Oreochromis niloticus: one gene and its partners. The protein of the gene in region 1 interacts with the protein of each later gene in a pairwise test. Links are inferred from orthologs where the notes say so. Each region holds a gene or a part of one and is shown in the gene's direction. Other genes may lie near its edges. The genes, in order: kctd1, exosc1 and ntaq1.

The links.
Region 2: the proteins of kctd1 (region 1) and exosc1 interact in binary tests that used the Homo sapiens proteins (3 or more experiments, as listed by UniProt). The two-hybrid records come from large-scale screens. The link is inferred for Oreochromis niloticus from reciprocal best matches to the Homo sapiens genes KCTD1 and EXOSC1.
Region 3: the proteins of kctd1 (region 1) and ntaq1 interact in binary tests that used the Homo sapiens proteins (3 or more experiments, as listed by UniProt). The two-hybrid records come from large-scale screens. The link is inferred for Oreochromis niloticus from reciprocal best matches to the Homo sapiens genes KCTD1 and NTAQ1.

Annotation. Positions count from the first base shown.
Region 1 is NC_031982.2:17,123,455-17,130,023, reverse strand, and holds the start of kctd1 (BTB/POZ domain-containing protein KCTD1), read left to right. Parts: upstream 1-2,950; 5' UTR 2,951-3,423; coding exon 3,424-3,660; intron 3,661-4,475; coding exon 4,476-4,654; intron 4,655-5,319; coding exon 5,320-5,464; intron 5,465-6,569. UniProt on the Homo sapiens protein: May repress the transcriptional activity of AP-2 family members, including TFAP2A, TFAP2B and TFAP2C to various extent.
Region 2 is NC_031971.2:31,386,895-31,393,463, reverse strand, and holds the start of exosc1 (exosome complex component CSL4), read left to right. Parts: upstream 1-2,964; 5' UTR 2,965-2,989; coding exon 2,990-3,047; intron 3,048-3,153; exon of another isoform or gene 3,154-3,293; coding exon of another isoform or gene 3,294-3,300; intron 3,301-3,941; coding exon 3,942-4,057; intron 4,058-4,241; coding exon 4,242-4,316; intron 4,317-4,414; coding exon 4,415-4,503; intron 4,504-6,203; coding exon 6,204-6,237; intron 6,238-6,354; coding exon 6,355-6,405; intron 6,406-6,569. Other genes in the region: pgam1b (phosphoglycerate mutase 1b), read left to right, coding at 1-102, 218-398, 1,117-1,286. UniProt on the Homo sapiens protein: Non-catalytic component of the RNA exosome complex which has 3'->5' exoribonuclease activity and participates in a multitude of cellular RNA processing and degradation events.
Region 3 is NC_031985.2:36,120,254-36,126,822, reverse strand, and holds the start of ntaq1 (protein N-terminal glutamine amidohydrolase), read left to right. Parts: upstream 1-3,153; 5' UTR 3,154-3,247; coding exon 3,248-3,303; intron 3,304-6,569. Other genes in the region: ribosome biogenesis protein bop1, read left to right, coding at 1,853-1,960, 2,058-2,211. UniProt on the Homo sapiens protein: Mediates the side-chain deamidation of N-terminal glutamine residues to glutamate, an important step in N-end rule pathway of protein degradation.

The DNA of each region.
Region 1 (6,569 bases):
AGGAGAGAAATGCTGTTATTGTATTTTTGTAGTGGCTCTGCCACTCCTATGCCCTGGGATAGTTTGCTCTGTGCCAGTGAACATGCACTACAGTCTCTAACAGCCTGCGGCAACACAGCACTGATCACACTTCCTTATCCGTGATGTCATGCTGATGTACAGCTCCAGTAACTCCACAAAGAATCATTTTCAAGTAGATAAGTAAGTCTGAGAAAACTGAGGGAGTAATTGTGTGTTCCTGGTTGATAAATAAGTAAGCACTACTATGGCTTGTTTTATAGTTAACAGCTGTGTATGAAATTCTTGATCGTGTGGAGAATCAAAGCTTATCCGGACCACCGTGCTGTACTGGAAATGATTATTTTTATGCATGTTACAGCCAAAAATTGAAAAGGTGACTACACATGAACTCAACAAGATGCTTTAAAGTACAGGTTTGCGTAGTGTGTTCAAATGTGGTGATGTGTTTGTGTTTGTGTGGGCAACCTCTTCATTCTTTCATTAAATGCCTTAGTACTTTTTCATACTAAACACATTTCCACAGGTCATCCAAAACATACCAAATAATCCCTTTACTGTTAAGTGTAAGACGTGGAGTCAGTTTGGAGACAAAGACAAAGATGTGAATGCAAAAACAATAATGACAATGACAAAAGTTTTATTGAAATGCAGTATTTTAGCTTTGCTGCAGCATGCAGTTACTTTATATTTACAAAGTATACAAAGTCCAGTGGGATATGTATTTGATCTAGCTTACAGTTTTTACCCAAACCATGCTGTTATAACAGTTCATCATTACCTTTTTCATATATATTTTATATATACAGCTAGCGGCAACTGATGTTAACCCAGAGTTTGTAGCTGTCTGTGTATGGACATTTCAAACAAATGGCCACAGGCAACAAAGCTGAGACAACCCATCCAGATTATGTAAATACCAGTCTGCCTGCCTTGAACTGAATGTTAATGCTCTGATCTGAAATGCTAATTGTATCTTGTGAGATATGTCGAAACAGTGAAGAGTTGCATTCTGGGATGGCCAACTTAAAGTTAGTCTGTTACATATGCTGAACCCCAGAAGGCCCCTCAATTATGACAACAGCAGACAGATCCTTGCTTTCCATGTTTTTGGATTAATTATTAGTGGAAAACATACCCTGCTATTTCTTAAACATTCAACCCCAGCTACTGTATGGTGTTTGTTCCTTAAAGTTTGAAGAAAGATGGTCTTGCATTAAAGGCCTGAAAGAAAACTGGTGAAAAACAACAGAAACAAAAGGGAGTAGCTCGACTGCTCCGGGCTTTGATGCTCTGCGCCTGTTTTAGATTTGTTTGTGCATGCTGTGGTGCAACAAAATTACACGAGCTGGATAAACGAACAGATTCCCTAAACACATACGTTTTGACTTCTTTCGCAAACATCCTAACATGCATGGGAGACTTCTGTACCTCTGTGCCAAATTCAAAATGGCAACAGGTAGGAAAAGCGCTCGTGTGGCACATCTCAGGATTCGTACTTGTGGATTCTGAGGACGCTGTGACCTTTGAACCGATTTTGAGCTACAACAAATTTGACGTAGACGCGGGTCCGACGAAAGGTTCACGACACGTCTGTATTTCCAGCAACTCGGGATGATTTTGTGATATGAGAGCTCATTCCCTCAACTGGCTCCCTCCAGCTCCCAACCCTCCACTTCCCACCCACCCAACCACCCGTTCTCTTTCACTCTCTCTTCTTTCTCCCCTGCAATTTTCCATAATGCCTCACAGATTTTACACTCAATCCACCTTTGCAATGACAAGGCTTTGAGGAAATCCAATTCCACCAAGCTGTTTTCAGAACTTACTCTCCACAGGCACACACTTTCTCTCACTCACTCGCTCTCTCACACACACACACACACACACCACCATCTCCACAAATTAGTCAGGGAACAAATTACCTGCATTCTGAGTGTGATCCCACGCACTTTGCCGGCTGCCTTACACAGGTCCCCTTTTGAAGAGCAGCCATGTGATTTCTCTCTCTTTTGCCCCGCAGGCCCCTTTGCCTTCTGCGAGGGATTCTGGAGTTGAATTTTAAAACTATGTATGGCTGCTGCCTGCGCTTATCAGCGCGTGCACAAGTGGCATGCAAATCAGACCAGGATCACACACCGCATTGGAGGCCTACACTCAAAGGCAAGCTTAATTGCTAATTGGGTATCTAGGTGTGAAACTCACACTGCCAATGAGAAACAGGAATGTGGATGTTTTAAGGCCAGTGGTTGAACTAATTAATTTTAATCTGAATGTTATTAAAAATTGTGGATTCCCTACATTTCTTCTGCGGGAAAAAAAAACAACCCAGGAGAGTGCTGTGGCAGTACTTTTAACCGCAATTGGACATGTTGTGGTCTGGTTTTATACTCCACGATATCATTAGTGTGGTAGCTTTGCAATGCTGATGTGGTCACTGGAGGTGGTGTTAACACCACACCGCACCGCAGCTCTAACACTTGTCAGACACAGAGCCAGGGAGAAACAGATGAAGAAGTTTTATAGCTGCTGTCTGCGTCTGCTCTGAGGGTCATACCGTTGACTTGAAGGGGTGTTAGCTGGTACTTCACATGCAGTGTTTCTTTGCTGACCTCAAGGACGTTTGAGTTATTGATAACATCTTGCAGCCTGTAAATAGTGAAGAGTCTTTTCCGTTAAAACATCATATTCAGAATGCATTTGGTCATCTAAAAAATAAAAGAGTGATGTTCCTGACTGCTTTTGGGTGACTGGAAAGCTCACAATCAATCAGGTGCTTATGGCTGGTAAGTGTGTGTATGGGTGGGGGAAGGTTTTTTTTTTTTTTGAATGGGCTATTGCAGGGGTATTTTTTTTCTTTTTTTGTCCATGTGATTGAGAAGGTTGGCCACTGTTTCGGATTTGTCACAGACTCAACTTTGTTCGACTGATGTGTTGGAAGGCTGAACAAAAACTGCTGCTGAACAATGGGCAGCAACGTGTAGGGTGGGGGGGAAGTGGTCGCGCGTGGAAACACTGCTCCGAAAAGGGGGGCAAAGGCCAGCTGTTCAAGGTCCAGATGTGGCGTGTTAACCCAAATCGCATTATAAGCAGACGATCGCATTTTGCAGGCTAAGGCAGGATTTGTTTCATTCCGCGAAAATGCGACACACATACCTGCCACTGAAACAGCGACAGCCCAAAAGAGCCGCGGGCACTACAATGCTAATGTTGTCGGGGGCTTTGACTTCTCCCAGCCACTGCAAAGAAGCCGCTCCGTGTGACAGCAACGGCTTTCGCTCTCACCCCCGGTGCTCGCTATTTTTTTTCACGCCTCTTCATTTTTGGCAGGTGTGTTGGAGAGGGTGAAAAAAAAAAGCCTCACCGCTTTCTCCTATCTCTTTAACCCTAAACGTCTGAGCCGTAATGGACGAAACGGATATCATGGACTTAACGCATCAGAAGGCGAGAAAGCGACCGCGTCCAATCAGTTCCGTGGATGAGTCCGTGCACGCTTCCCTCAAACGGCTCCCGATCCGAGCGGCGGAGTGCAGGGAGAGCTCGCTGATGTTCGCTGTCAGAGGAGAGCCCGTTCCCGCAGCATCTCTGAAGCAAAATGACCATTCGGTGACTTCCTCTCCAACCACAGTGATGCCGGCGCAGGTAAACGCGTAAAAGTGTCGTGTTGTCTGGGGAGGGGGAGAGCGATTTAACTTTCGACTTTATGGGGCGAAGTGCCGGACACTTTGTTTTTTGGTTGTTTTGTGTTTTTTTTAATTTACCGAATCAAACAAATCATCTCCTCGATGCCCTCAACCGTAGACTGCGCACATAGTGTCAGACAGTCCTTCTTGTGCAATTTACTGTTAAATGTATGTCTTGAGTTCACGTTTTTTTTTAATTTGTTTTTTAAAGAAGATGTGTCTAATGTCCTGCCCACTCCTTAGTGATCAGGACACTTTCGAGATTTTCTCCAGTCTTCTCAAACTTTTTCGGGTATAAAGTCATTTTTCATCTCAGAGCTTAACAGAAATCGTCTCCTAATGGTGTTTGTAGGTTATCATGAGACGTTATTCTCCAAATCCTATTATAGTATTCAAATCAGGAATCATTATTGCTCATTTTCATGACTGAGATTGATGCTCCAAATTAATTTGGTTTTGGAGATTATGGCCCACAGGAGTGGATGCTTGTGGATTGTGGCAACATTCAGGTCAAGGTCGGGCTGCTCTATCTTGCACAGAAAAGGGTAACAAGAAAAAAAACCCACCCTTCCTCTCCACTCCTGACTGCAGAATATATTAGACTAAAGAAATGCACAGATTGTTGTCTCTTATTAGCCTTTCTTTCTTTTTTCTTTCCTAATATACTAATTTTGTCCATCCTCCCCAGACTTGTTTTAATTGTCTGTTTCATTTGCAGCAGAAGATTGCAATCTAATGTGTCTTCCTACATGCATTTCCTTTGTGCTCCCTCAGGATAATCGCTCCAGCATGTCCAGGCCCATGATCACACGGTCACCGGTGTCTCCCTTGAGTAACCAGGGCATCCCAACACCTGCTCAGCTCACCAAGTCCAATGCTCCTGTGCACATCGATGTAGGTGGGCACATGTACACCAGCAGTCTGGCCACCTTAACAAAATTTCCAGAATCTCGGTGAGTTTGCCCTGCCATACAGATGTATTTTAAGTGGAGGGGGAAGGTTAAGATCCAGGGTCAGGGATAACCATTTGTGGCAGGATTTTTGCATGTATTGTGTGTTTTACCAGGGATGTTTTCTGCTGGAGCCTGATGGTTTTTGTCAGAATTTCCTCGCAGTTTGTTGTTTATTGGTTATTGTTGTAACGTGATGGTCAGATGTCACATTTTGTAAAACTCTGCTATTTTAAAGGGGTAAACAATTTGTGAGCGCTTTAAGTGCAGAATGCAGAGTGCAGACAAAGGCAACTTGGTTATTCTGACAGATGTCACAGCAGCAGTAAAGAGCCAAAGGGCATGGAGCCATCTGGAGGCTGGGAGGCCACACTGTCGCTCCGAGCACAGGCCCGGGGGTGACTGCCTCCCTGCCTCAGGCGACCAAGCACCAGCTGGTCTTGACCTCTCCGGACCACCTTTCTTTCTTTCTTTAAGATAGATTTAGTGAGATCAAGTTTAGGCTTTAAAAATTGTTACAAGCTTTTGTTTGTGAGTGTAAAAAAACAACAACAACAAAAAAAAACAAAGGATAGAATTCTTAATCCTGATATGTTGTTCTCCTTCTTCCTTCCTTACCTCCCTTTCTGCCTAAATCACCACCCCTCCTCTCTCTCTCTTACGGGCAGAATTGGTCGTCTCTTTGATGGCACAGAGCCTATAGTCCTGGACAGCCTGAAGCAGCACTACTTCATTGACAGGGATGGACACATGTTCCGCTACATCCTCAACTTCCTCAGGACGTCCAAGCTCCTCATCCCCGACGACTTCAAAGTAAGTCGATGCCCATCCTAGAAACTGTAAATTCCCATCAGCCAGTCAGCAGTCCTACAACTTAACACACACAATGAATGCTAAGGCCGTGGAACGCCTTTGGTCACTGGTCCTCCCTGAGTTACTGAAAATGGTTCACATGCTGGAGAGAAAATATCAGGGCTCTACCAAACAAACCCCAATTGCAAAGCATTTCCTCATCAAGAGATGCAGTTTGATCCCTTCTAGCTACGAGCTGGCAAAGATTCTTTTGCAATACATAAGTAAAACAGTAGGCTCGTACTGAAACAATTATACTGACACCCATGGCCATACGATATGCTTTTTTTCTGCAGCTCTCTATGTTCTTGTGCCAAGTGTCCATCCAAGGTGCCTGTCACTGTATGTGGCACATAAGAACCCCCACCCCCCCTCAAATGTTTAAGCAATAATTACTGAACTTGCCCTGGGAGAAAACAAATAACCACATTATCAGATGGACTGTCCACTGTGCAAAAAGTATGTCAGTTAAAATAAGCAAAGGCAAAAGACAAGACTAAGTTCAAGCTAAGGCCATATGCTCAGTGAGTAGATGTTGAGAGGATCATGTGAAAACTGGAATGTGGTGCAGTTTAGGCCCTGCAGTGCTGTGAGTAAAGGATCTGCTCCTCTACCCCATGCAACCCTGTGTTACACGTCGCCCTGTATCTTCTCTACTTTGGATCTTTTGTAATTTTTCCTGAGTGGTGTCTCGACTAGGGTTTATTGTTCATTCATGTAGAACAGTGCTTTTAAAGCTTCCTTGTTTTTTCTTTTCTTTGTAATATCTCAGCTTTAGAAAGAAAATGACAACTTTTAACTGTTTTGCTTTTTGTGTCTTTTATTATGTTGCTCTCTAGTATCCAAATTGTTCTGAATTCTGCATCAAGTTTACCCATGTAGAAGATAATATTGTACAATTAAGCATCGATCTAGGAGGAAAAAAAACAGAAAATATTACAAAATACTTTGAAATATAAACAGAATAATCAACAGGAACAACATATTTGACGCGTATTTGAAAATATACCATATTTACCATGGTTTTAATGTGTAAACCGTTAAGGCCGACAACTTCACATTTCTT
Region 2 (6,569 bases), on another chromosome or scaffold:
GCCAAACACGGGGAAGCCCAGGTCAAGATCTGGAGGCGTTCTTTTGACATTCCTCCCCCACCTATGGATGAGGGACATGACTACTATCAGACCATAAGCAAGGTATTAAGCAGCTCGGGGAAATTGTGACAAGTTGACTCTTTTCGTTATTGCATCAATGTAACCCTGCGTTGCTGAAACTATTTTGACAACACCGACTTCTTCTTTTTCCCTGTAGGACCGACGTTATGCTGACCTGACAGAGGACCAGCTCCCTAGCTGTGAGAGTCTTAAGGACACCATTGCTCGGGCACTTCCTTTCTGGAATGAAGAGATTGTTCCACAGATCAAGGAAGGAAAGAGGGTGTTGATTGCTGCCCATGGCAACAGTCTCCGCGGCATTGTCAAGCACCTGGAGGGTAAGGAAAAGAGAAACTTGTGAAACATTTCTCAGCACTAAAAACACCTTTCAGTGTTATTTCACTTACTATGAGTCAACAATGAATTGGGGTACCTGCTAAACCTTCATAAAGGCCTATGAACTTGATATCATCCATTTGGGTTTTAGGGAAGTCAGAAATTATCTTATAGACAAGAGCGTAGAGTGCTAAGTTATTAGCTGTTGCAGTGGCTTAACTAGCAGATAGTTATTGGTCTAGGTGGCCACCGCATGTGAATTAATGTGACTACATTCCTAGTAGTGCAAACTAGTGCAAACTTATGACTGTGATAACTTTAGAGTTACACAATGTTGGTTTTTGAAATTATACCATAGAGGCATCTACTAAAAATCTCAGGCAAGTTTGAGTCCTGGTAACCTTGACCTCAAGGTCAAGGTCACCAGGACCTTGACCTTGAGTTTGAATCTGTGACCTTGAACTCAAAGTCAAGGTCATAGGTCACATTTTATACTATTTCTGTATCTACTAGCAGGCTGAGGGATAGGCAGTATTATCTGTTCCAAGCAGGTTTATTTTAGTTCTTAAGTTGTGAATTTTAACATAAGAGTTTAACAATCATGCGTTTGTCATACAAAGCTACCATCTGCTGTCAAACATTTTAACGCGGTCTAAAGCAGCAGCAGCAGCTACATGCAAATGAATTACAGCTCTGTGTCTGTCATTTTTTTTTTCATAGGTATGTCAGAGGAGGCCATCATGGAGCTGAACCTGCCCACAGGCATCCCCATCGTGTATGAGCTGGACAAGAACCTGAAGCCTATTGGGCCCATGCAGTTCCTGGGAGATGAGGAGACTGTAAAGAAAGCCATGGAAGCTGTGGCTGCTCAGGGCAAAGCCAAGAAATAGACTTGTCCTTCCTTTGGGAGTAAAGAATCATCATCTGCTTTTTTTTTTTTTTTTTTTTTTTTCTTTCCCCATCAAGTTGTGAAAGGGTCATTTACTGTTTGTGTCATCACAGACTTGAGGACAGGTAGACACAGAATGTGCACTTTATCTTAATACCACCCATTTTTCACAAAAATGTACAATCTGATGTTTAATTTGACTGCTCTTTACTTTGTTACATACTGAAACATGCATTTCATTATTAGACTGTGGATATCAGTTGTAATGTGGTTTAAGCACTGACCAAATATAAATTAGGGACCAGCAAACAGACTACCCCAGCAGAGTTCCAAGTATTCTTTCCAATTTACAATCCATGTAGATGAAGCGCAGCGGAAGCAGGAAAAACCAAAAGTTACACTGGCTTTGTTAAAGAGAGAGCAGATTTGCTCTAGACTGCTGAATATTGTTTGCTGTGGCATTGTGCTTAAAAATGAATAAATGTTGTGAGTCATTATGCAGTGTACTGTGTGTGATGTCTTTTTTTTTTTTTTCCAGGACAACTGCACTTTTTTTTTATATGGTAATTGAGAAATTTGTCTCAGTAAAAGGCAAATATTGAAATGCACTTTATCCAGTTCCCTCACTAAGTAAATGCGATTGGCAGAAATTAAAAGTTTGTTGTAATTAATTATGTGACAGTCCCTGTTTCTCCCTTTTCTGTCACAGTAACTGCTACTTCAGCAGCTGTTCTGTTGGTTAAACATATTTGTATTTCTTATATGCATCCATAGATTAGCACATTTCACAGGAGGCTCAGATACTTAGTTTTGTAAACTGCAACCAATCCAAAATATGAGAGAGTGTTTTAGTTTGTGGGATGGGGGCAAGTCTTTTTTTTTATTTTCTCGAAGGTTTGAGATGCACCGTAACAGGACTATGATAAACATGATTATTTTGAAAAAATGGCTGCTCGGTGGCAATTTTCCGATTATATGATTCTTTTAAAACCATGCTCAGAGAAACAGATTTTGAATAAAAGCATCGACAATTTAATTTACATTGTAGGGAAGTAATAAACCTAGGAAATCCCAATACTGGAAGTAGCTAACTTTCATAGCAGAGGTGGGTAGATTGATACCAATATCAATAGTATCAATAAGAATGCTGGTACTGGTGTCCGATACTTTAGCATCAGATTGCTACCAAATTTTGCAGTATCTCGCAGCAGTATTTCATAATTATCTGACCATATATGACTTATTCAATCATATAGTAATGCACACATGGCACGTACCCGCCCATGTGTGGCTCAGCAATCATGGCGGATCAACGCATTTTGTTCCGCTGACGCTGAATGACACTGACCAATCAGAATCTTTCTGTGCCCTTAGTCCTAACCAATAGGCTGCCTACGTACGCCTCTCGAAAACATGTCGCCGATGAAGCTGTGCGTTCCCGGTGAGTCCAGTAAATTCGTCTCTAAAAGCGCTTAAAAACTAAATATACCAGTGTGTAGATTGTATGTTGGGATATGTAGACAGCTTTAACAGCTTTAGAGTCATTTTCTATTAGAAAAGGAAGTTAAACTGCATTCTGAGCGTGTGAAACCCTGGTGATTATTTCCAGCTGCCATGCGTGGAGTGGGCTTTGGCTTCCCGTACTTGTAAGGCTGTAGTAACTTATTTTACAATCAATCACATGTTGGATCAGCTGACTGTCAGATGGAGTCGGGGTTTTCAGGCCTACCGTATCATGGTCTTTTACTGTATTTGCAGGGCTGTGAGTTACTGACTTTGGCTTTCCACGGCTGATGAGATCCGATCCTCAGCCCTGCCCATCTCCTCGGGCAAGATAACGCATTCCTGAGCTTTGTTTTGTCACACCCGTGGGAAAGCCGCAGGTCTATCCGGCGCATGGCAGTAGTGAACCTTAAATGAGTTGTCTGCAGGAGTAACATTTAACTTCATTCTAATTACGGGTGAAAGAGCACAAAGTAGCAAGATAATTAATTGTAGTGCAAGAAAAATGAAGGGTAGTATTGTGTCACATGACATAAATTATGTTTTGTGTTTTAATCTTCTTGTCCATGATGTGTTTTGTGCTTAAGGTTTGCAGATACACTGTTAGTCCCACAATGCTGTTACATCAAAGTATCCTCAGTTAGTCTCTCAGTTTCAGTTAGCAGATGATAACCAAAATAAGGGAAACTATTATTATTATTATTTTTATTATTCTTTAGTTATATATTATATAGTCTACGTTCACCATTGTAACAAAATATTCTGTTACAATGGTGGATGCTTATATTAAACATGGGCAACGTTTTAAATAATGATATGTACAGATCATCCCTGTAAGCCAGTAGCTCAGGCTTCAGACTCTACTGAATGCTAAGTTTCGTTTTTTTTTTCTACTTTTGGATCTTTGTTATGTCCTCAAGAGAGGGAGGATGTTCAATTTGTCTGTTTGTGAAGGGAAGTCAGTCAGATAAAGATGGTTGATGGAGATGTGAAACGGCTGGGTTCAGACATGGAGCAAAGCCCAGTATAAGATAAAGATTATTTTTGGTGATGACTCATGCAAAGATGTTTTTATTTTAATTCTTTTTTTAGAAGGAACAGTGCATCTCCAGAACCCAAACACTAACACATCTGTGTCTTTTTTTATACTTAGGTGACAAACTATGCAGCTCAGAAGACTGTATTCCTGGCACAGGAGTATACCTGCGACATGGCTACATATACTCGTCACTAGCAGGCTATGTGCTCAGGAAGAATGAGGGAGAGGAGGTGAGGGGTGTGGGTAAGACAGGGGAGGGGAAAGTTTGTTCAGCAGTGAGACAAGTACAAATGCCAGACTAAAGGTATTTTTGCAATGTCTTTTGATGTGAGTAAGCGAACTAGTTTTGTAATTGTCTAAGGTGATATTCACATCATATGGATAACTTCTACTGGGATTATTTTGTCTCCTTAGTTACCAGTGATTTCAGTTGTGAGGGAAACAGAAACACAACTGCTGCCAGATGTAGGAGCAATAGTCACCTGTAAGGTATGCAATAGAATAAGAAACTGTTACTATCGCTGCATGTTCTGAGTAAATAATCTTGCACAGTTTACAATCTGTTTTATTTATTTTTCATTTAACAGGTAACCAGCATCAATCCCAGATTTGCCAAAGTCCACATCCTTTATGTAGGATCCACCCCACTGAAGGACCGCTTTAGAGGCACGATCAGGTAACCACAAAATTTGAGCCAGTTTTTGTCTAATATTTTATTGTAGACTGTTCAGTTTTATTTATACAGCATCAAATCACAATAACAATTGCTTCAAGGCACTTTATATTGTAAGGTAAAGACCCTACAATAACACAAAGAAAACAGAGAAAACCCCAACAATCATATGATCCCCTATGAGCAAGCACTTTGGCGATAGTGGGAAAGAAAAACTCCCCTTTAACAGGAAGAAACCTACAGCAAAAACAGGCTCAGGAAGGGTGGCCAATAAGATAAGATGAGGACTGATTATTCAAGACCTTGTATGTGAGGAGCAGGATTTTCAATTCAATTCTGGATTTAACAGGGAGCCAATAAAGAGAAGCCAATATACGAGAAATATGCTCTCTTTCTAGTCCCTGTCAGTACTCTCGCTGCAGCATTTTGGATTAGCTGAAGGCTTTTCAGGGAGGTTTTAGGACATCCTGATAATAACGAATTATAGTAGTCCAGCCTAGAAGTAATAAATACATGAACTAGTTTTTCAGCGTTAGTCTGAGACAGGATCTTTCTCATTTTGGAAATGGAAGAAAGGCGTCTTACATTTTTGTTTAATATGTGCATTAAAGGACATCCTGGTCAAAAATCAATCCAAGACTCCTCACAGTGTTACTGGAGGCCACGGTAATGCTATCCGGAGTAAGCATCTGTTAGACACTGCATTTCAAAGATTGTTAGGACCGAGTACATTAATCCCAGTTTTATCTGAATTTAGAAACAGAAAATTAGAGGTCATCCAGGTTTGTATGTCTTTAAGACATTCTTGTAGTTTAACAAATTGTTGTGTGTTATCTGGCTTCATAGATAAATGAATGAATAGATAAAGTTTAGTGTTATCTGCATAACGTGAAAATAAGTGAAAATGTATGCTATGTCTTCTAATGGTACTGCCTATGGGAAGCAAGTATAATGTAAACAGAATTCTAGAATGGAACCCTGTGGAACTCCATAGTTAACCTTCCTATCTGAAGAGGACTCATAAGAAGCTCATTTGTAACCTTCACTGAAGCTGATTCTGTAAAGAAACTGTTAGAAATAGCAGGTGAAGTAAGAATGAAGAAGCCTTTTTAAAGTTGCTGCTATCCTATGATTGGAACTAAACATAAAAATAGTAATTACTGCATCCAGATTTTAAGATGAATTCAAAAACATATTTTTTTATTGTTTTTTTTTTCAAAATAAAAATTAATCTAATTGTAATTCTCAGCAGTACTTCCCCAGCTAGTCTTTTTCCAACTCAAACTGATAAGTTGATTTAAAAACAACGAAATAAACTCATTAAAGTCTCTACTTAAACTCCATATATGCATGCCAAACCTTCAGACTGCTAATCGTGTGAGATGGGCCTGAGGCAGCCAAAAGCAAGACCTGTTTTGAGGAGGTGGTTGTAGAAAATGAAGGTGGAGCAGCAGCATTGACAGCATTGCTAGACTCAGAATCAGCGCTAGGGTTGCTACGGGTTTCAAAATATTATACTGTCGAGCAAGTTTTAAAAGTAATTTTAACAGAAGTATTTTCTTTCATTTTGCTTTGCTGAGCGAGATGCTCATAGCCACCACCATACAGATCTAACTCCAGTGTGAGGCGGTGTTTTGTGGACATAATATGGATATGCACAAAATTCTGGCCTAAACACAAACTCACTCTCTGTTTCTCTACAGAAAAGAAGATGTGCGTGCAACAGAGAAAGACAAGGTCTGTTTGATTTCCTGTTTTCCACTCACACCTTTCATTAGTTTCTTCTGCATATAATAATTTTTATTAAAATAAGGTGACATGTTTATTGGTAACCATTTTTCTTCCTGGTTACAGGTAGAGACATACAAAAGCTTCAGACCCGGTGACATCGTCTTGGCAAAAGTTGTATCCTTCACATTCTTATGCCGACACTGGTGGTTTTCAACCAGCGCATGCTTGTCATTTCTTTCTTCAACATTTACATAATTGTGGATTCATAACTCTGAATTCATTTCCAAGGCTGAGACTGTCAACACCAAGTTCCTCTTTTTTTATTTCCAAATGTGCTT
Region 3 (6,569 bases), on another chromosome or scaffold:
GAATGAATAATGGCATTGTAAAGCGCTTTGGGTGCCTTGAAAAGCGCTATATAAATCCAATCCATTATTATTATTATTATTATTATTATTATTATTATTATTACTACTTAGTAACTCTCACGGTTACAAATATTGCAGCTTTACGCATTGCCTTACAGATGGTGGTGTTGTTAGAGTGAGTATCTAACACAGCTAGACTAGACTTAGTCAGAAGTTATAGATTAAGTAGATTCACAGACAGCTGCATCAATGCTGAGTACAGGTAAAGCACCGGTGGGTTAGAGTTAACAAGTGAATATTTATAAGATTAATTACAGATTTGGAGAGATTGTGGCTGAAGAGCCTGTTGGAGGAGGCTGATTTGGGTTTGGTTGGGCAGAGGTGGCAAAAGTACAGACATTCTGTACTTTAGTAGAAGTACAGGTACTAGTATTTAAAAAAAAAATACTCCTGTAAAAGTACTGATTCAACTTCTTTATTCAAGTACAACAGAAAAAGTACAGGCTCTGAAAACTATCTCCTTAAAGAACATTTCTACCACCTATTTTTCTGCAAAGCTAAATAAACCTTCTGCTATATTAATGCAGTAGATGAGAATACAAATTTCATGTTAGTCTCGATGATAATAAATGCGCTCAGCTTGAATCAGTTAAGTAGAACATAAGCAGAGGAACAAGAAGGGGAAAATGGCTCTATTTTCTGTTGTCTACATTGTAGAATGTGACTTTGTCTCTAAACAGAAAATGAGTAAGGAAGAGATTAAAGTGGGAGGCACATAGAAATGCCCAAGTTAGAGAACAACTTGAAAAGTGCTTCAAAGTAGTGCAAAGAAAAAGACTGAATAGAGTCCATGTGTGAGTGGCCTGAGTGATGGGGGTTACTCAGACCATAGCTCACATTGGTGAGGTGGGTGGTTAAAGGCTTGTTGCAGTAGTTCAGTGTGAGGAAAACAATCACAGTTCACAATCATTTCTGTTGAAAGCTCCAGTACATTTTCTTAGTCCACAGGCTGTGATCAGCTGATCTGGGCTACTGCTGCTGCCCTGAGGTTTACTGCTCTTTACACACCTGAATTTAACAAGTGTTTTGTGAGTTTGAGTTGTCCTGGGTAATTGCCATCCTTCACACTGACAGTGCACTGTTTAACCTGTCTATCCTGCACTAACCTACAGAGTGTTTTCATGCAACCTCAGTTTGTTTTAAAGAACGTTTCACTATATGAAAATCACAATGTCACATGTATAGACCTAAGCACTCAGCTGGCAGATGATACTACAGTTTTCCTCAAAAGGTCAGAACAAATCCCTCTTGTCATCAACAAAATCCACATATTTTCTGAGGTGTCTGGGTTACCTTTAAACCTAAGAAAAGTGTGAATTACTCTCTATTCTGAACTGCCATGTAGTTTATTTGTATGGTATCCCGGTTTTAAAATGATTATAGCTCTTTATTTTATAATGCTCCCTCTTGTGTTCAGCTTGTATTTTTCACATTTTATACATTGCTGCCAACAGAATTTTGCATAGCCAGAGCTGAATTGTACATAAAGCAGCATTGTTTAAATGAAAGAAAGAAAGAAAGAAAGAAAGAAAGAAGAAGAAAAAAAAAAAAAAGATCTGCAGTGCCTTCACAGCCTAGCAGGTGCAGGAGTTTAGGAAATATAAGATTTCAGTCAGACCTGCACCAGGAAGGTGAGGATGTATGTTGTATGTGGAAGTGTGTTTACTCAATCAGGGCACTGATATTGGTGTATCATTGATTGTAGAATACTACATATTGATCAGATGTGGGGTTTTTTTTGGTTTTTTTTTTAATCATTTATCATGTGATATGGATCACCTTCTTTCTACAGACACCATAAGAAAGCAGTGAGGGGTGTGGCCTATCACAGACTGTACCCGCTGTTTGCCTCGGCGTCCGATGATGGCTCAGTGATCGTCTGTCATGGGACTGTTTACAAGTAAAACACACACACACACACACACACACACACACGCGCACTTATTTTTCCTCCTCTCAGTTGCACTCTAACCCCACCCTCCTTGCTACCCCCACAGTGACCTGTTGCAGAATCCACTCATCGTCCCAGTGAAAGTCCTCAGAGGTCATGTGATGACTCATGATCTCGGTGTTCTGGATGTGACCTTTCACCCCACGCAACCCTGGGTCTTCTCCTCTGGCGCCGATGCTACTATCCGCCTCTTCACATAGCAACGTGCTTAGCAACCACAGATGCCGTTTTCCTAATGTTTTTACTTTCAGACACAATGTTCTTGCCTCACTGTTTTCCTTGCTGTGATGTCAGTTCCTTTTTGAATAAACTGAACTGTTTTTGAGTGTGTGTGTGTCTGCTGTCAGTCTGGTGAAAGGAGCTGACATTGATCAGCAGTGTGACATCCCTTTCCTGTCTAGGGCCATTAAAGATGAATAAAAACATGCCTAATTGGCTGTTTGTGGGTGATCGATCAGGTCTAAGATGTTAAGTTCAGATATCATGGCAGCCATCTTTACAGAGTTAGCTGAGGAGCCTGGACCCCCTGTCAAGCCCGCCCATTTCACCAGTTATTCTGGTTTTCGATTTGCTCGTTAGTTTGTTTTAAATTAGTTTCTGGAGTGATGATCCAGATCTGTCTGGGTTTTATTTATATTTCAGTGAAAAAATTTCATTCATATAATTTTTAGTTAACCGTATAATCAATTTGACATGAACAGATTTGTTCAGTTAAATGTATAAATTAAGTATTTTATCTCAAATCTAATAAAACTTGTGAAATTTGCAGTGCAGATGTTTACAAAAATAAAAATTCCTTAGAGATTTGACAAGTCTTCAAAAAAAAAAAAAAGCCGAAATGTTTTATTACAAAAATACATTTTTGAGTTTGTATTTCAATTATTTTCTGATGATTTATGGTGCTGAGCAGAAGGAGTTGAGTGATGGGAGACTGTATACTGCTAAAGTTTAGTTATTCTCTGAAAATCTAAGCTAGCTAACAGGTTCAGAGGTCAGTTTGTTTCTCTTATGGTACTTTGCTATAAACGATGTTCTCCTTTCATGAAGGATGCTTCAGCGTCACAAATAAAGGAGGTAACTAAGGGAGCACTGAAGCTCATTTCTTGTGGCGGCAGCGAAGTTAAATTAGCAGTTGGACCCCAGTTTGTCGATGCTTTTAATTTGAAAGTCCACTTTCCTTAGCGGATTTGGTGTCAGTCCGTTTCCCTTGGAGCTCTTTCAGTGTAACACCCGATCATGAATCGGAGACTCGTTCCGATGCGCGAGGACTGCGTGTACACGAGCTGCTACTGGTGAGTCCCGACATACCTCCCAGAGGTGACCGTGCAGGCTCTGTGTCAGAACATTACCTGACGTTACTTGGCTCCTGAGAATTATAAACACACGCCTTGTCAAAGGAGCTGCAACCACTATGATTGGCCAGTTCAGATTTCCGTTTTCCTTTTAGCGCAGTTTTTTTTTGTTTTTTTTTTAAAAAATTTGTCAGTATAAGAATAAAAATCACAATATCATTGTAAGGAATAATCCTCCCAGACAGCGGACGCGGCTTGCGCTCCGCTCACCGCTAACTAGAGGGAAGGACCTACGTGTTGCGCTGGCTGGCCTCTGCGCTCTGCTGGTACGTCCTTTATTGCGGCCGCCCTACGTGTACTAGATGCGCCTGCTCCTAGTCTTTTCAAAACATGTATCTCTCTGACTTTATGTCCATATGAACATAATACAAGACAAACGTCACAATGCTGTTCACTAGACAGCAAGAGTCAACGATCTGGAAAATCTTGTCTTCGTTATCATTCCCCTCATACATTTTATTACACAGATTTCAAGCGTGCAGTTTACTTTGTGTCGCGTCAACTGTATGGGCTCAAAATGTGGTCATAAATATTTTGTACTTGTAAATCAGTTTTGTACTTGTAAATCAGGATTTGTATGTGTAAAAAGAATTTGTGCGTGCGTAAAAAAGATTTGTATGTGTAAAAAAGATTTGTGTGTGTGTAAAAAAGATTTGTATGTGTAAAAAGAATTTGTGCGTGCGTAAAAAAGATTTGTATGTGTAAAAAAGATTTGTATGTGTAAAAAGAATTTGTGCGTGCGTAAAAAAGATTTGTATGTGTAAAAAAGATTTGTGTGTGGACTCAGCCAAAAAACCCCCTGCAAGTTACAAGTACGAATTTTGACCCTATTTTTCTTCCTGTCATCTGATTGGTCAATGTCATGCCAATCACAAATGTAACAATCCAATCAGAGAACAGATGGGTTTGGCTGTCGGAGGGGCACTTTTTTGAACTGCAGGTCCTTGAAGGGTAATACAGTTTGAAGCTGGAGGATCTCTATATAAATATCCGATAGCAGCTAGGTCCCCTTACTTTCAGCAGCTGTTGAAAGGATAAAGTTGTGGTATGTCAGTGGTTAGAAATACCATTATTACTTTAGGATTAGTTTAACACAAAGTCAGGGCTGACCCGGGACCATTGCTGTGAGTCACAGTGCGCAGCATAAAGGTCCTTTCACATCGGACGCAGGATGTGCTGCTAATGCTAACTGCTAACTAAAAGCAAAGGATCCAGAATTTGTTGCGCTGGCTGCTGAGCTCTGTGGGTTTTTGCAGCAGCTCTACCTGTACTAGATGCACCTGCTCCTTGTCGTTTCTATCTCTGACTTTATGTCCTCTACCACAGTTTCTGGTTTTTTTGCTAGTTCTTCAAATGTTCAATAAAAACATGTATGCTAATTCATAACGAAGAAAGCTTTGTAATGAAGACTGTCATTTCCAAAACACTGCCCCCCCCCCCCCCCCCCCCCCCCGGTCCGCAGCGCTGTTGAAAAGGCTGTGGAAGTCCCTGTATTAAGCACGTAGACCTGTGACACAAAAATCACCAAACTCGGACGACCACAGACTGTTTTCCTTCGTGGTGATGAAGGAAAACGCTGGGTTGGCATATAAAAGGGCATTTATTCCCTTCAAGGACCTGCAGTTCAAAAAAGTGCCCCTCCGACAGCCAAACCCATCTGTTCTCTGATTGGATTGTTACATTTGTGATTGACATGACATTGACCAATCAGATGACAGGAAGAAAAATAGGGTCCAAATTCATACTTGTAACTTGCAGGGGGGGTTTTGGCTAAGTCCACACACAAATCTTTTTTACACATACAAATCTTTTTTATGCACGCACAAATTCTTTTTACACATACAAATCCTGATTTACAAGTACAAAACTGATTTACAAGTACAAAATATTTATGACCACATTTTGAGCCCATACAACCAGAGGTGGGACCAAGTCATTGTTTTGCAAGTCTCAAGTAAGTCCCAAGTCTTTATCCTCAAGTCACAAGTCAAGTCTCAAGTAAAGTCAAGCAAGTCAGAGTCAAGTCGCAAGTCAAGACAGACAACTTTCAAGTCAAGTCCCAAGTCCGAAACTTTGAATTTCAAGTCCTTTCAAGTCTTTTTTTTTTAACCCTCTGGGGTCCCGGGTATAATTGGCCGTTCTTGACTACTTTTGATTTTACTTCTATATTTCACTTTTAAAATATGTTTTTCTTGCCTTGTTTGGTATCATTATTTACAGCACAACCTCAAATATCTGAAATTTGAGTTATTTTTTTCATTTTGGTATACTATATTAGCACAGTTGATCTAAATTCAGACAAAAAATTCAGAATCCGAGTAGAAAAAAGTTATATTTTTTTACATGTTTAACGAATCATTTTCATAACTTGAAATGCAAATAGAAATTGTACATTTCTAAAAATTATGCACAAGTTTTGCAAACAACAAAGTTATATGGTACTATTTACCTAAAAATGCAGCCAAGGCCTCAGGCGTTTTTTATATAACCATTTAAATCTATTTACAGAACAATCAGGTGTGCTGCATCAAATAAGAAGGCACACAAATTATTTGTGCCAGTCCAAAAAATGTAGTTTGTGTTCAGTATAAGACAGAGGAGAACACCACAGGCCTAAACCCTGCAGGTCTGACAACTGGAGGTGCAACAGTCCAGTTTTCTATGTGGAGACAGCGTTTACACTGGAATCTGCCTTTGACAGCTTTTTTAGATCAAATATGAAATTCAGCAGTCTAACCGACACACAATACAAAACAATAACTATACAACAAACTAACTATAGCCTCCAAACACGCTAAACGTCACTAATGTCTCACATATGAAAACTCTCTCTCTCTCTTTCTTTCGCTCGCCCGCTTTCCGTCACGGGTGTCACTCCTAAAAACTTCCCCTTCTCCCTAAACAACCAAATGTCACATGTTGCCTTATCATTTTTTTGATTGGCTGACATGGTAAACTCTAACACCAATAGGGAAGGGGTGTTTTTTCTTTTTCTGTTTTCACTCGCAAGTGGAGAGCGTATGCTAGGCTGTCTGTAGAAAACGCCGTTTTTGTCTAGCATCCCTGTTGAGAATAACCTTTGCAAATAAACAACAGCTAATAATATAAGATCAAAGTATTTTATTTGATGTATTGACATAAATGACAGAAGAAAAAGGCCATGTATAGCAGGACTACTCAATTACACACTAAGGTGGGCCAGATTT